Rattus norvegicus: one gene and its partners. The protein of the gene in region 2 interacts with the protein of the main gene of each other region in a biochemical or structural test. Links are inferred from orthologs where the notes say so. Each region holds a gene or a part of one and is shown on either strand. Other genes may lie near its edges.

What was found.
Region 1: of the proteins of Ldlr (region 2) and Mylip, one has a biochemical effect on the other in vitro, tested with the Homo sapiens proteins (4 studies listed by BioGRID, with this or other methods). The link is inferred for Rattus norvegicus from reciprocal best matches to the Homo sapiens genes LDLR and MYLIP.
Region 3: the proteins of Ldlr (region 2) and Pcsk9 form a complex in vitro, tested with the Homo sapiens proteins (3 studies listed by IntAct, with this or other methods). The link is inferred for Rattus norvegicus from reciprocal best matches to the Homo sapiens genes LDLR and PCSK9.

Annotation. Positions count from the first base shown.
Region 1 is NC_086035.1:19,511,621-19,515,711, forward strand, and holds the start of Mylip (E3 ubiquitin-protein ligase MYLIP), read right to left. Parts: upstream 2,852-4,091; 5' UTR 2,626-2,851; coding exon 2,539-2,625; intron 1,431-2,538; coding exon 1,240-1,430; intron 1-1,239. UniProt on the Homo sapiens protein: E3 ubiquitin-protein ligase that mediates ubiquitination and subsequent proteasomal degradation of myosin regulatory light chain (MRLC), LDLR, VLDLR and LRP8. Activity depends on E2 enzymes of the UBE2D family.
Region 2 is NC_086026.1:28,544,728-28,549,103, reverse strand, and holds the start of Ldlr (low-density lipoprotein receptor precursor), read right to left. Parts: upstream 2,914-4,376; 5' UTR 2,760-2,913; coding exon 2,693-2,759; intron 1-2,692.
Region 3 is NC_086023.1:126,439,590-126,442,687, reverse strand, and holds the end of Pcsk9 (proprotein convertase subtilisin/kexin type 9 precursor), read left to right. Parts: coding exon 1-113; intron 114-1,303; coding exon 1,304-1,519; 3' UTR 1,520-2,586; downstream 2,587-3,098.

The DNA of each region.
Region 1 (4,091 bases), on a different chromosome or scaffold from region 2:
CACACACACACACACACACACACACACACTCACACATACACAGAACAAATGCTGTGTCATGTATTTTTCTCACTTACTGAACTAAGGAAGCTTTCACAAACCAGATCGGTTGGTCTGTTCGTCTGTCTGTCTGTCTGTCTGTAAACAAAAATCTCTCCCAACCTTTAAAATACCATGGTAAGGCAACGTGGACATTCCAAACCCAAATGGACGGTATTTTTTAATGTTTCCATTGTTTGTCTAGTAAATAAACAAAAACCGGTATGTTAAAATCTCTCTGAGGAGCCTGTTCCCCCATTAGGAGTAGAAATCTACAAGATCACATTTTTCACATGCGTGGCCCACTTCCAAGCCACAGGAGTATGGAAAACATCAGTGCTGGGATCCAGAGTTTGCTGTGGTTTTAAAAGCAATCATTTTCTTTCTTTTTTTTTTTCCTGTAGTCTCTTGCATTTCAGTAATAAATATTAAACCCCGCCTTCCTATTTTGGTTCATCTTTGAGAAAAGTATTACAGTCAGCTCAGAGGGAAACGTGTGTGTGTGTGTGTGTGTGTGTGTGTGTGTGTGTGTGTGTGTGCATGTATTTTGGTCGTTTGAAAAAGGAGGCCACACCCACAGGCTTCAGTTGTCTACCAAGGCTGGGGGCCCTCCGTTTAACAAGGAGGGGGGAGAAAAAACCTCATGCCCAACAATCAATCATGTTTAATATATCTGTAGGGTGGAATTCAGTTTACAGTGGCCTTCAAAGAGTCCTTTTATTAATTTTTTGTGAAACTTAAAAAAGTTTTCAAATCTGCAGGAGGCCAGACAGAGCACTCCCGCTACACACTGTAATCTGACACTAGGCTGAAGATTGACCAAGTTTAAGCAACCCAAGAGGAACAGTTTCCTGCTTTCGGTTAGAACAGTCTACAGTGACCTGTAGTAACACTGCTGAGGCGGGGTTACTCGCGGGCATTAGATGAAGCAGTCAGGAAGTCGGTGTCAGGTTTTCTTTTTGTTTGTACGAAGTCAGCCCTGTTCTCTCACTAATATTATACAGATTGGAGGGGAGCGGGGTGTTGGAGAAAAAAATCCACCCAGGCCAACTGTGCTTCGAAAAACGAATTTAAGTTTTTCCAGAACTTTCTCTGCACCAAGTCAAATTTGCCAGGGGACATCTCTGGGAGGGCAGGATAGCTGCCTCTAAATGGAATCAGAGGTGTACTTGACATTGGTTTGTTTCCGCCTCGCTTTACCTTGTCTGCTCCTGTAAGATGAGATGGGGCTCCACAAAGAACTTGACCCTCAGTTTAAGCCGGTAAGGTGCCAGCCCATCCATCTGCTGGGAGATCCGGTTTCTCAGATTCAGCCATAAGCTTTCACCTTTGCTACCCGTGAACTGCAGCCCAAAATAATCAACTTCTATGATTCCCAATCGCCTGCACACCTAAAAAACAGAACCAAAGGTATGGGGAGATGAGCAATGCAAACCCAATGCAAACATCTGAGTGAAGGGCTGGCAACCACTTTTCTAAAGTTCTACCTTGTTGCAATGCCAGTGGTAGACCGGAAAAACAAGGTTTTAAGGTATCAGCAAAGCCAAAACGCAGCTCTCCAATGGAGGCTTCGCATTGCTCGATTATTTCTAGGGTCTGACCAATTGCACAGAGAAAGGAGTCCCCCCAAACAGATTTCCCAAATGGCTGAGGAAGAGGAACCCACAGGGTATTTTATTTCTTATTCCAATCGCTGCAATTCCCTCCACCAGCACCATCTGCACAGCTGATTCGGCAGCTTATTATCTGGACAGTTTTAACCATCTGGATTCCAAAAACACAAACGCATTGAGGAAGCATGCCACAAGTGTCAGCTAAGCTTTACACACAGCTCTCCAAATAGCTCAGGTCTACAGGTCTTGAAGGCACAGTGTTTCCAGGGGTCAAATGGGTCTGCTGTACCCATTATGCACACACTGTTAAGAGCCTTAGTCACTCTTAAGAAAACACACGTGTAAAGACCCCAAGCAGGAGACTGCCGGCAGAACCGTTCCCCCGCAAATTACTCGGGCATACTCTGGATCCCCAGCAAACCTGGAGTGTGTCAGGTGAACGAACAGTCCTTCTAAGAAGCAGCTTGAGACAAGGGCTCACCTGGTCAGCTAGGGAACCCCGGGGCCAGCGACCATTTGCAGCCACCTCATCCCGGGACGCGGGTGGCGCTGCCGGGCTTTGCAAGGACTCCACGGGAGGCATCACATACACACACCTGCGGCAGGTGTGCCCTGCCACCTTCTTTAGAGAAAAGTGCCAGGCTAGGAGACAGGGTGGAGGTTTCCGGCAGTGTCCTGGTCTCCAGGCCCAGGTTCCCCCACCGTAAGCGTCCTCTATGCCCCCCCCCCCACCCCAAGCTGGCAGGGAGGAGGAGGCTGAAGCCTGGCATCCCGGGAGCGCTCTACGGGCCGCCGCTGCAACGTCGCCCGGCTCCGGAGGAGCATCCCTGAGCCCCGAGGCTTCCCGGTAATGAGCAGGGATCCCCTTTCCTATCACTGCCATCACCTGGTTGAGACAGTCCTCGCCGTTGGCTTTTGCCTCCACCTCCACCTCCATCAGCACCGCGTCCGGCCTCGTCACATAGCACAGCATGGCTGGGGCCGCCGCCACCGCCGCCACGGCCGCTTCTTCTCCGGTGTGCGCCGGGGCTGTCGCCTCACTGCAATTGCTCCAAGTCGGCTCCGGGCACCGCGAGGAAGGTGCAGCCGTGCGGTCACCCGCCCTGCACCCCACGCAGCCGCCACTCGCGTCCCCGCCACCCCCCACGACAGCCAGTTCCCGGGAGCTACACGGCCGCGCCGCTCCGACAGCCCCACTGCCAGCGCCGCTACAGGCACTCGTCTTTTATAGAGGCCCCGCCCCTCCGGCGCCGGTCTTCACCAATCACTGCGTGCTTGCCCCTCCTCCCCAGCTCCGGCAGCCAATAATCAGTCTCAATAGCTGAAGCCCCGCCTCCCGGCACCGCCTGTGGAGCTGCGGGAGGTGGGAGCCAGTTCTCTCCCCAACCCCGGGTACCGTCGCGGCCTCTGCCACTGGGCGACGCTCCTCCCAGCCCGCTGTCGCCCGCAGCTCCAGGGGACGCCTTTCTGTCCCGGTTTGAGAGTACTGTGATCAAACGCTCCTGCGATGCCACGGTTCTCAGGACTCCTGCGTGGGGTTACTCTAATGACCCGGTGGTTTGAGCAAGTCAGAGCCTAAAGTTGATGCTTTTCCGCTAGGATTTGCCTCTGAGTTCTCAAAAGAACACTCTTGAGTAGAAAAGTTTTTGCAATTGACCCATAATAAGCCGGTAACTTGATCCAAGCACCATTCTTTACATTAACACGTGCCAAGGGTTTCTAGGCGTGGGTTCTGCTAAATAGTTATGTTACCCATCCTATCTCTCATCGAATTCATTTGCAATATACCAGATACACTCCCTGTCCTTTCTTTCAGACAACCAGATGTTACCCCATCTTAAAGGTAACAGGCTTATCTTGGGACCTAGCAGGAAGAGTATCGCAATACAAGAGATTAGTAGTTAAAGGTGTGAAATCTTCATATTTACTACTTGTTTCTCTTGGCCTATACTGTCTTTCTTCTTCTTCTTCTTCTTCTTCTTCTTCTTCTTCTTCTTCTTCTTCTTCTTCTTCTTCTTCTTCTTCTTCTTCTTCTTCTTCTTCTTCTTCTTCTTCCTCCTCCTCCTCCTCCTCCTCCTCCTCCTCCTCCTCCTCCTCCTCCTCCTCCTCCTCCTCCTCCTCCCTCCCTCCCTCCCTCCCTTTCCCTCTCCCTCTCTCCGTACCTTTCTCCCTACCTCCCTCCCCACTTCTCTCTCTCTCTTCCTTTTGGTTTGTAAAATAAACCAGGAAATGTGGGTTTCAGCCTTGGATCCTTGGACAACTTCATCTCTCTGAAGCTCAATGTCCTCACAGTAGAATGGAGACTAGCTATCTTTTAGACCTTCCCCGAGCATTGCTGTGAAGCAATCTAGCCATCCCTGCCTGCCAATGACCCTATCTCTGTCCTGTTTGTTTGCCGTGTATCTAAGACGAAGTCTTGCTGTATCGCTCAAGCTAGTG
Region 2 (4,376 bases):
AGTCAGGGCTTTCTCCTGTTGTTATGGGAACGAAGCCCAACTGGAGGTCAATCCTGGTGAACAAACATTTACAAAAGTGTTTTCATAGCAACCCTAAACATGAGGGGCGGCACCAGCAGTTCCAACCCACCAACGAACCGGCTGTGTCCATTCTACCGTGGGTAATGCCATCGGCTAAGCAGGGTGTGAGTAAAATAAATCCTCCGTAGCATCCATGGTGGCTCAGGAGCAAAAGTGCTCGCCGGCCTCCTCACCAGCAAGCCTAACATGAGTTAGGGACCGCCAACCCCTGTCGTCTCCATAAGCAACCAAAGCTGATTTGCCCCACATGCCCAGAGGGTGCAGATGCTGCTGACAGAATTAACGCATCAAAAGCTTGGTCAAAGGAGCCAAGCATAGAGGTGGCCAGAGTCTTATCAGGACCAAGCAGGGAGATAAGAACCCTGAGCGGTCAGAGTCAGGAGCATTGCCCTCCGGGTTTGTAATTTCAGGGATGCTCAGGTAAGAGGCTCCCAGGGCTCAGGAGTCAGAGGCAGGGCGCTACCCTGTACAGTGAGACTCTACTTAAAAAAAAAAAAAAAAAAAAAAAAAAGGCCAGCCTGGGCTACATAGTGAATTCAAGGACAGCCTGGGCTACAGAGTGAGATACTGTCTCTCCAAAAATAAATAATCAAAAAGAACAAGAGGGAAAAAAAATCCAACCCTATTCAGTGGTTTACCAGTTTTACTCAGCAAGGAATGTGACAGACAAATGAAGCTGAAGCACCACTGTGAGCTAACAGTGCGTGCTACAGACCTCTGGCATATCTGACACCCCTCACACGGCTGCGGGCTCTGTGTGTGTGGAGGCCAGAGTTCCCAGTCGAATGTTTTCCTTAGTGTTCCTCCTCCTCACCCTGCACCCAGAGCTCACCCTCAAGTCCAGGGATCCTCCAGAGTGGTCATTTCAGGCTGCCCCACACATGGCCATGTCACCAACTGACTGAGCCACCACCCCAGCCCCCAGATCTGCTCTTGAGCCATCTAAAGATGTGTTCACAACAGATCTTAAAACAGACAAACCGTCCAGTTAATGCACTGAAGCTTAACCTAGAGCAAGCCGTAGTGTGGCTGCCCGGAGCATGAGAGGGAGGCCAGCACCCAGTGAGGCCAGCACGGGCCCCTCTGGCTTTCCTGTGAGACAGGAAACTTCAGCTCTTGCTCAAGACTTTGTAAAATAATTTCCTCTCTTCCTTTTTGTTAAAGAGAGCAATGACAGGCGAAATGGAAGCTGAGCAGGATATCTGGTCTACCCTTGTTTGCAATTATAGCAGGATGGCTGAGTGTTTGCCTCAGTGTTCAATTACAGCTCGCTCTCTCTCTCTCTCTCTCTCTCTCTCTCTCTCTCTCTCTCTCTCTCTCTCTCTCTCTCTCTCTCTCTCTCTCCAGGGGTTCACTTCACTGTATAGCCCTGGCTGTCCTACAACTCACAGGGCTCCACCTGCCTCTGACTTTCCGGTGCTGGGATTAAAGGTGTGCCCCAGGATCCCCAGCTCCGCCAGGCTGTCTCAAGGAAGCATCCCCAGGATTGACAGTCACACACAGCTAGCTAACTCCTTCCAAGCTCCTGCCTGGATCCCATGCATGGCCCCAGGTTCTATCCATGGTATCCCCAAATCTAGGTGCTATGGCACATACCTGTCACCCCAACACTCCCAAACTGAGGAAGAAGAATTAGGAGCTTAAAGTCATTCTAGACCGTATAGTGACTTATAGGCCATCCTAGGCTACATGAGACCCTGTCTATAAAGTAAGGGAGAGGTGGAGCATTTGTCCCAGTGTGCAAGGATCTGAGTTTAATCCCCAGTGCTGCAAAGAAGTCGTGGGTGAGATTATAACACCATCTAACTTCCTGTCCAAATTCCAGCACTTCTCCTAAAACTAAAGTCCACTTGATGGGGCAGCCCAATTCAACACATTCAGAGAGTGGGAACAAACCAGGCCAGCAACAGTCCTCGCCAGATCCCTGGCTCTCCTTGACTGATGGTCCCGGCTACCAGGGTCTGGGTTGCCAGAGGCACAACTATGAAGCTGACCAGAGAAGTGTGGACAAGGTAGTGAGTGACTCACACAGGGGAACCGGGGCGGCCAGGATGTGTAGCCCCACCCGACCCCGGAGACTCAGGCAAGCCACGCCCCTGCACCTCATCTTCTTCTTCCATTGGGCGAGGGGAGTGGCTCGAGTCTCGCCTGTTCCGGCTTTACCCAATAGGAGCTCGGGGGTGCGGTGGGAGGTGGGGTTAGGGCGGAGTTTTAGGGCACCCGGCAGCAGCGGGGTTTGAGCGCATCTGTGTAGACCCCTCAAGTCCTATACCTACGACTAGTGACCCCAAAGTTGAACAGCTGAGCCTGTCTCTCCCCAGTCCTTTAAAACGAATGATGGGAGCCCTCCTCTTGGACTCCCTCACACATAGCTCTGAAGAACACCGCTAACTCGAGAGAGCACCTACCCGTCTCCCCCCAAACCTACTCTGACCCCCTACAACTCTGGCATCCTATTTCCAGAACAGCTCCCTCCAGCCACGTGGGAAGGACATCATCCCAAGTTCGCATGAGTGATTCTATTTCTCGTCCAAAAAGAAAACCACTCGGGGCTCCCCGAGTTCAGAGCGGCTGGCCCTGGCCCTCGGCAGGCTCCTGGAATAAGCCTTACCTGCAACTCCAGCAGCAGCCAGGAGCAGGGCGATGGCCCAGCGTAGCATCAGATCCGCGGTGCTCATCCTCAGCCTCTGCGTCGCGTCCCCACTCGGATCACAGACCCGAAATGTTCCCGCTGCAAACACAGGATCACGGGTCCCACGGTGTCTCAGCTGCAAAACCTGGGTGGCAAGCCCCACGGTATGCGGGCTGCAATCCTACGCCGCACTGGGTCAACTGGTGACTGACTACACGCGCAGAGCCAGAGTCATTCTCAGCCCTAGGGACGAGGTTTCCAGAGGGGGAGGAGTCTGCAGTGGGGTGATTTTCAAAAATCTACTCCTCACTGTGCGGGGAGGAGCTTGGAACGGCCGATGTGACATAGGATCTTTAACCCCTGAAGCTCCCTTAGCCTTGGGAAGTTCCTCGAGTTCCTCCTTCAGAATTTCACCAGTTCCCAGATGCTTAGCTGTGGACTCAGCTCTCACTGTTCAAAGGACGACCCACATCCTTCCACACCCTGGGTCGCCTTCTGACGTTTTCCTTTCCACCTCCAAAGGAAAACAGAAGTATGGGACCCCCCAGCCCCCACCCCGGAGCCCCCAACTCGTGTGCGCGCACATACACACAGACTCCTTGCAGCATTTACTCTCCTTTCTAGGAACGGGCACATAGATTTTTGACCCAAGTACAGTTGCAGGTTTTAGATGGTTATTCGGATCCGACCATAAATAGCACTCAGAGAGGAATGTAAGTAAAATCAACCAGAAGTGCTACCAAAACATGAGTTGGGTCAGTGGGTAAAGGCGCAAGGGCCTCAGATTCCAAACCTAGCTCCCAGCAAAAGACACTGGGGCTAGTGAGCTGGCTTAGTGCACACAGCCAAGCCTGAGGACCTGAGTTCAAACCCGAGGACCCACAGGAGAGGCGAGAACTCTTTCTGTGACCTGAGAACAGGACAGGCTGGACTGGGTTGGTAGAGTATCTTCGTGGGTTCCATCCCCAGCATCACATAAACCGGGCCTGTTGTCACAAGTGTGTGGTCTCAACACTCTTAGGGAGGAGGCTAGCCTTGGCTACACAGATAGTTGAAGACAGAAACCAAAAAGATGTAAGAAGCTTCTTTTGTGAGTTGATTTCTCTCATTTTTTATTTTTGAGACAGGGTCACTCTATTATCTAGCTCTGGCTATCCTGGAACCCACTATGAAGGCCAGGCTGTCCTCGAACACAGAGCGATCCATCTGCCTGTCAAGGCATGTGCCACCACCTGCCCAGTTTATCTCTTCCTCTCCTGGGTTTTGGGGTGCTTGTGTGTTCACATGTATATGTGTAGGCCAGAGTTCAATGTCAGGTGTTCGCCTCAGTTGCCTTCCACCTAATTAAAAACCATCGTATTGTATTGTGTGTGTGTGCTCATGTGCTCATGCCTGGCAGAAGTCAACAGGTCAGTTTTCTCCTTCCACGGCGGTCTCAGTCCCAGCCTAACTCGCATGGCCACACGTGGCAGCTCCCTCGCTTGGCAACAGGAGACTCACTATTAATAACCCACAACTCGTGGGTTCAGTGATCTCCTTTCTTGGCCTCCTGAGCAGCTGGGACTGCAGCATGAGCAGTTTGGGACTCCCCACCCCTGCTGTGCCCTCCTTAGAGTCACTGGGAAGGAATCTCTTCCCAGAAGTCGAGCTGTGTGCTGGGCTG
Region 3 (3,098 bases), on a different chromosome or scaffold from region 2:
AACCTGGCCAATGCGTTGGCCACCAGGAGGCCAGTGTCCACGCTTCCTGCTGCCATGCTCCAGGTCTGGAATGCAAAATCAAGGAGCATGGCATCGCAGGTCCTGCAGAGCAGGTGAAGGAGTTGGGGATGGCTGGGTACCTTGGTCTTGTGTGTGTGTGTGGCGGGGGGTGCTGCCCTGTGTTGAAGGGGCCCCATGGGTCAGGAGAGGAGCTAGACGGTTTTTACTGTTGCAGGCACAGCATGTGAGCATTTGAGCGAGGCAGGCAGGCCTGGTTTTGCTTCTGCCCACTGTTGCTGCTCTTTGAGAGCATGCATGGTCGTGGCAAGTGGGAAGGAAACACCGTGCTTGAGCACTTTCTGATGGGGGCCGCTGAGGTTCTGCAGAGTCTGGACACAGAGCTGTAGATGCTGAGCAAGTGAAGGTTGAGGAAAGGAAGAGCCCTGGGAAGAGAGCCTGGGGCCAACAGATGGCCTTTCAGAGCTAGAGGCAGAAGTGTCCATCCTTTATACAGCTCTGGGGGTGGGCGGTGTGAGGCAGAAAGCTGCTCTATGAAGGGGAATCTCAGTTCCACTATATCAGTGAGCACAGGTACCCAGAGAGGCTGGCTCCAGTCTAGTCCAGTCCTAGGAGATAAATTGGGCAGAGGTGCCTGCTTGGCCCTCTAGGAGTCCCACTTGGTGGGAGAAGTAAGCAGAGTTAGTTCCAGAGGGCCAGTATGGAGAGTGCTAATATGGAGAAAAATGGAGCAGGGAAGATTGGTGGGTAGAGACACCCTTGAGATGAGATGACAAGCCATAGGGTCACCATCGGGAACAAAGTTTCTGGCAGAGGAAACAGCTAAGGTCAAGAGGGGTGACAGTATATCTTGGTGACAGGATCATCTAGGCCAGTGGGGCAGGTAGGGTCTCAGAAGTCTGGAAACATCTGACCTGGGGCGTGACCAGGCCCATGGTTGCCGGACTGAGACAGGAAGGTCTGCAGGATGGCCCCTGCACTGCTCCAGGTCTAGGATGTGAGGGTCTAGGCTGGAGTGGGAGTTAGGGGGAGGTGTTGCAACCGGAGATGTGTAGGTGAAGAACAGGTTCAGGGTTTCTGCTGAGCCTCTGAACTGCCATTAGATGGGATGGAAGGCTGCAGAGGGAGTGACTTTGGGGAAGTGAAGGTGGCTGAGTTAGACGTCTGCCCTGGAAGGAGAGCGTTGGTTACTGTTGGGTACAACCCTGCCTGTGTCTGAGAGGCTGTGGAGCGTGGTCAGCCCACAAGTCTCAGACACAGGCTGTCTTCCTCTGGATTCTGGCAGGTCACCGTGGCCTGTGAGGCAGGATGGACCCTGACTGGATGCAACGTTCTCCCTGGGGCATCCCTCCCTCTGGGGGCCTACAGTGTGGACAACGTGTGTGTGGCACGAATCCGTGATGCTGGTAGAGCGGACAGGACCAGTGAAGAAGCCACGGTAGCTGCTGCCATCTGCTGCCGGAGCCGGCCTTCGGCAAAGGCCTCCTGGGTTCACCAGTGACAGCCTCAGGCAGGCATTGTACCTGTGGCTGGACGCAGAGATGGACGTCCTGGCTCTCTTGTGTCTAGCCAAAGGTGGGGAGACTCTGCCTGGGGGAACTTGGCGTCTCATCCTGGGTACCCATTCCTGGTGTATGTGTGGGGAAGCACCTCCTTCATGGTCAGGGGGCCTGTGCTTGGCCTTCTGCCATCGAAGATGTTAAGCTATAGTTGGCTTTGGCCAGCTGCTCCAGTATATCAGAACCTGAGAGCACTTGCTACAAGGCTAGTGTTCAGGCCTTAGGCCTCCAGAGTGAATGTATCCTGCAGGAAGATAATGATGGATCGTGACCCTTGACGGTCACCCCCCGCCCCCAGGTCAGATGTCACCAGACTAGAACAGTATCTGAAAGCTGCTGGGGCCACTCACAGCTTGCTTACTCTGGAGACAGCATTTTGGGCTCCCTGATTAATGCAGATCAGTTCTGCCCACCTCCAGGGGTGGATCCAGCTGTGAGGCTCACCTGTATCTTCCAGATGTTCTCATCTGCTGCACCGAAGGCTCTGGCCCTGCTCAGGAGAACACGCTACGAACTCCTAGCTGACTCTGTTTGCACTGGAGAACCACACAGGGCTTACCCCACTACCCTGTGCACTGACTGGCTTCACTTTATGAAGGAAGAGACAGGGCCAGAGAAGCAATGTCATGCAGCCAGTGATGCTAGGACATAAATCCAGAGTGGCTGGCCCTGAAGCCATGCCTCTTGGCAATGCCAGGCTGGGCATCCTATTTTTGAAGCAAACAAAAAATGAGAGGACAGGCTGTGCTTCAGCGGCTTGTTCCTGGACCTATGCTCCCTTAGCCCCAGTCCCACGGATTATGTGGAGAGTGGAGGAGCAACAGAGGGCGACTGTACTAAGGCCACACAAGTCGACAAGAACACCTATATCCTTTTGACCTCTTCTGCTTTTTTATAGTAAGCTTTCCCTACCTGCGTTGCTTTTGTAACTCGATATTTATGCCGGGTTTTATAGAGTTTTTATTATGTAGTGACTTTTCAGAATAAAAGAAGCTGATGTGACTGCCTGCACCTGACTAAGGCTGCCTGCTTACCAGGTTGGACTATCTGCCAGACGGTGGCGTGCACAGGCTTGCAGTGGGCCCATTCTAAGAATGCAGCCACTGTTCCTGTAGCCTCCTGATGCCTCAGAGTACTAGTATTTGTCCTGGGGATCCCACTCCCTCCAGCATTATAGACTCTTTGGGCTCATGCCTACAGCACTCCTAGCTCCCAACACTTCTACCACCCTTCTAGCAAGGGCTCAGTGATGTTTCTCGGCTCATTCACTCATTAGTCTGTGGTGTTTCTGCAAGCAGTCTATAGTTACCCCTGATTTGAAATGAAACATGCTCTCAGATATTTTTTCAGTGTGCAATGTGCAAATATCCCTGTCATGCAGTGTGGACCCCTTGGTGTTACTGTCTTAGGCATGGTCTATCTCTATACAGTCTACACAATGGATCTGCCAAAAGTCTCCAAGTGGTTTTCTGCAAAGCAAAGCCATGTGTGAAAAGCACTATAGCTGGCAGATGCTAACGG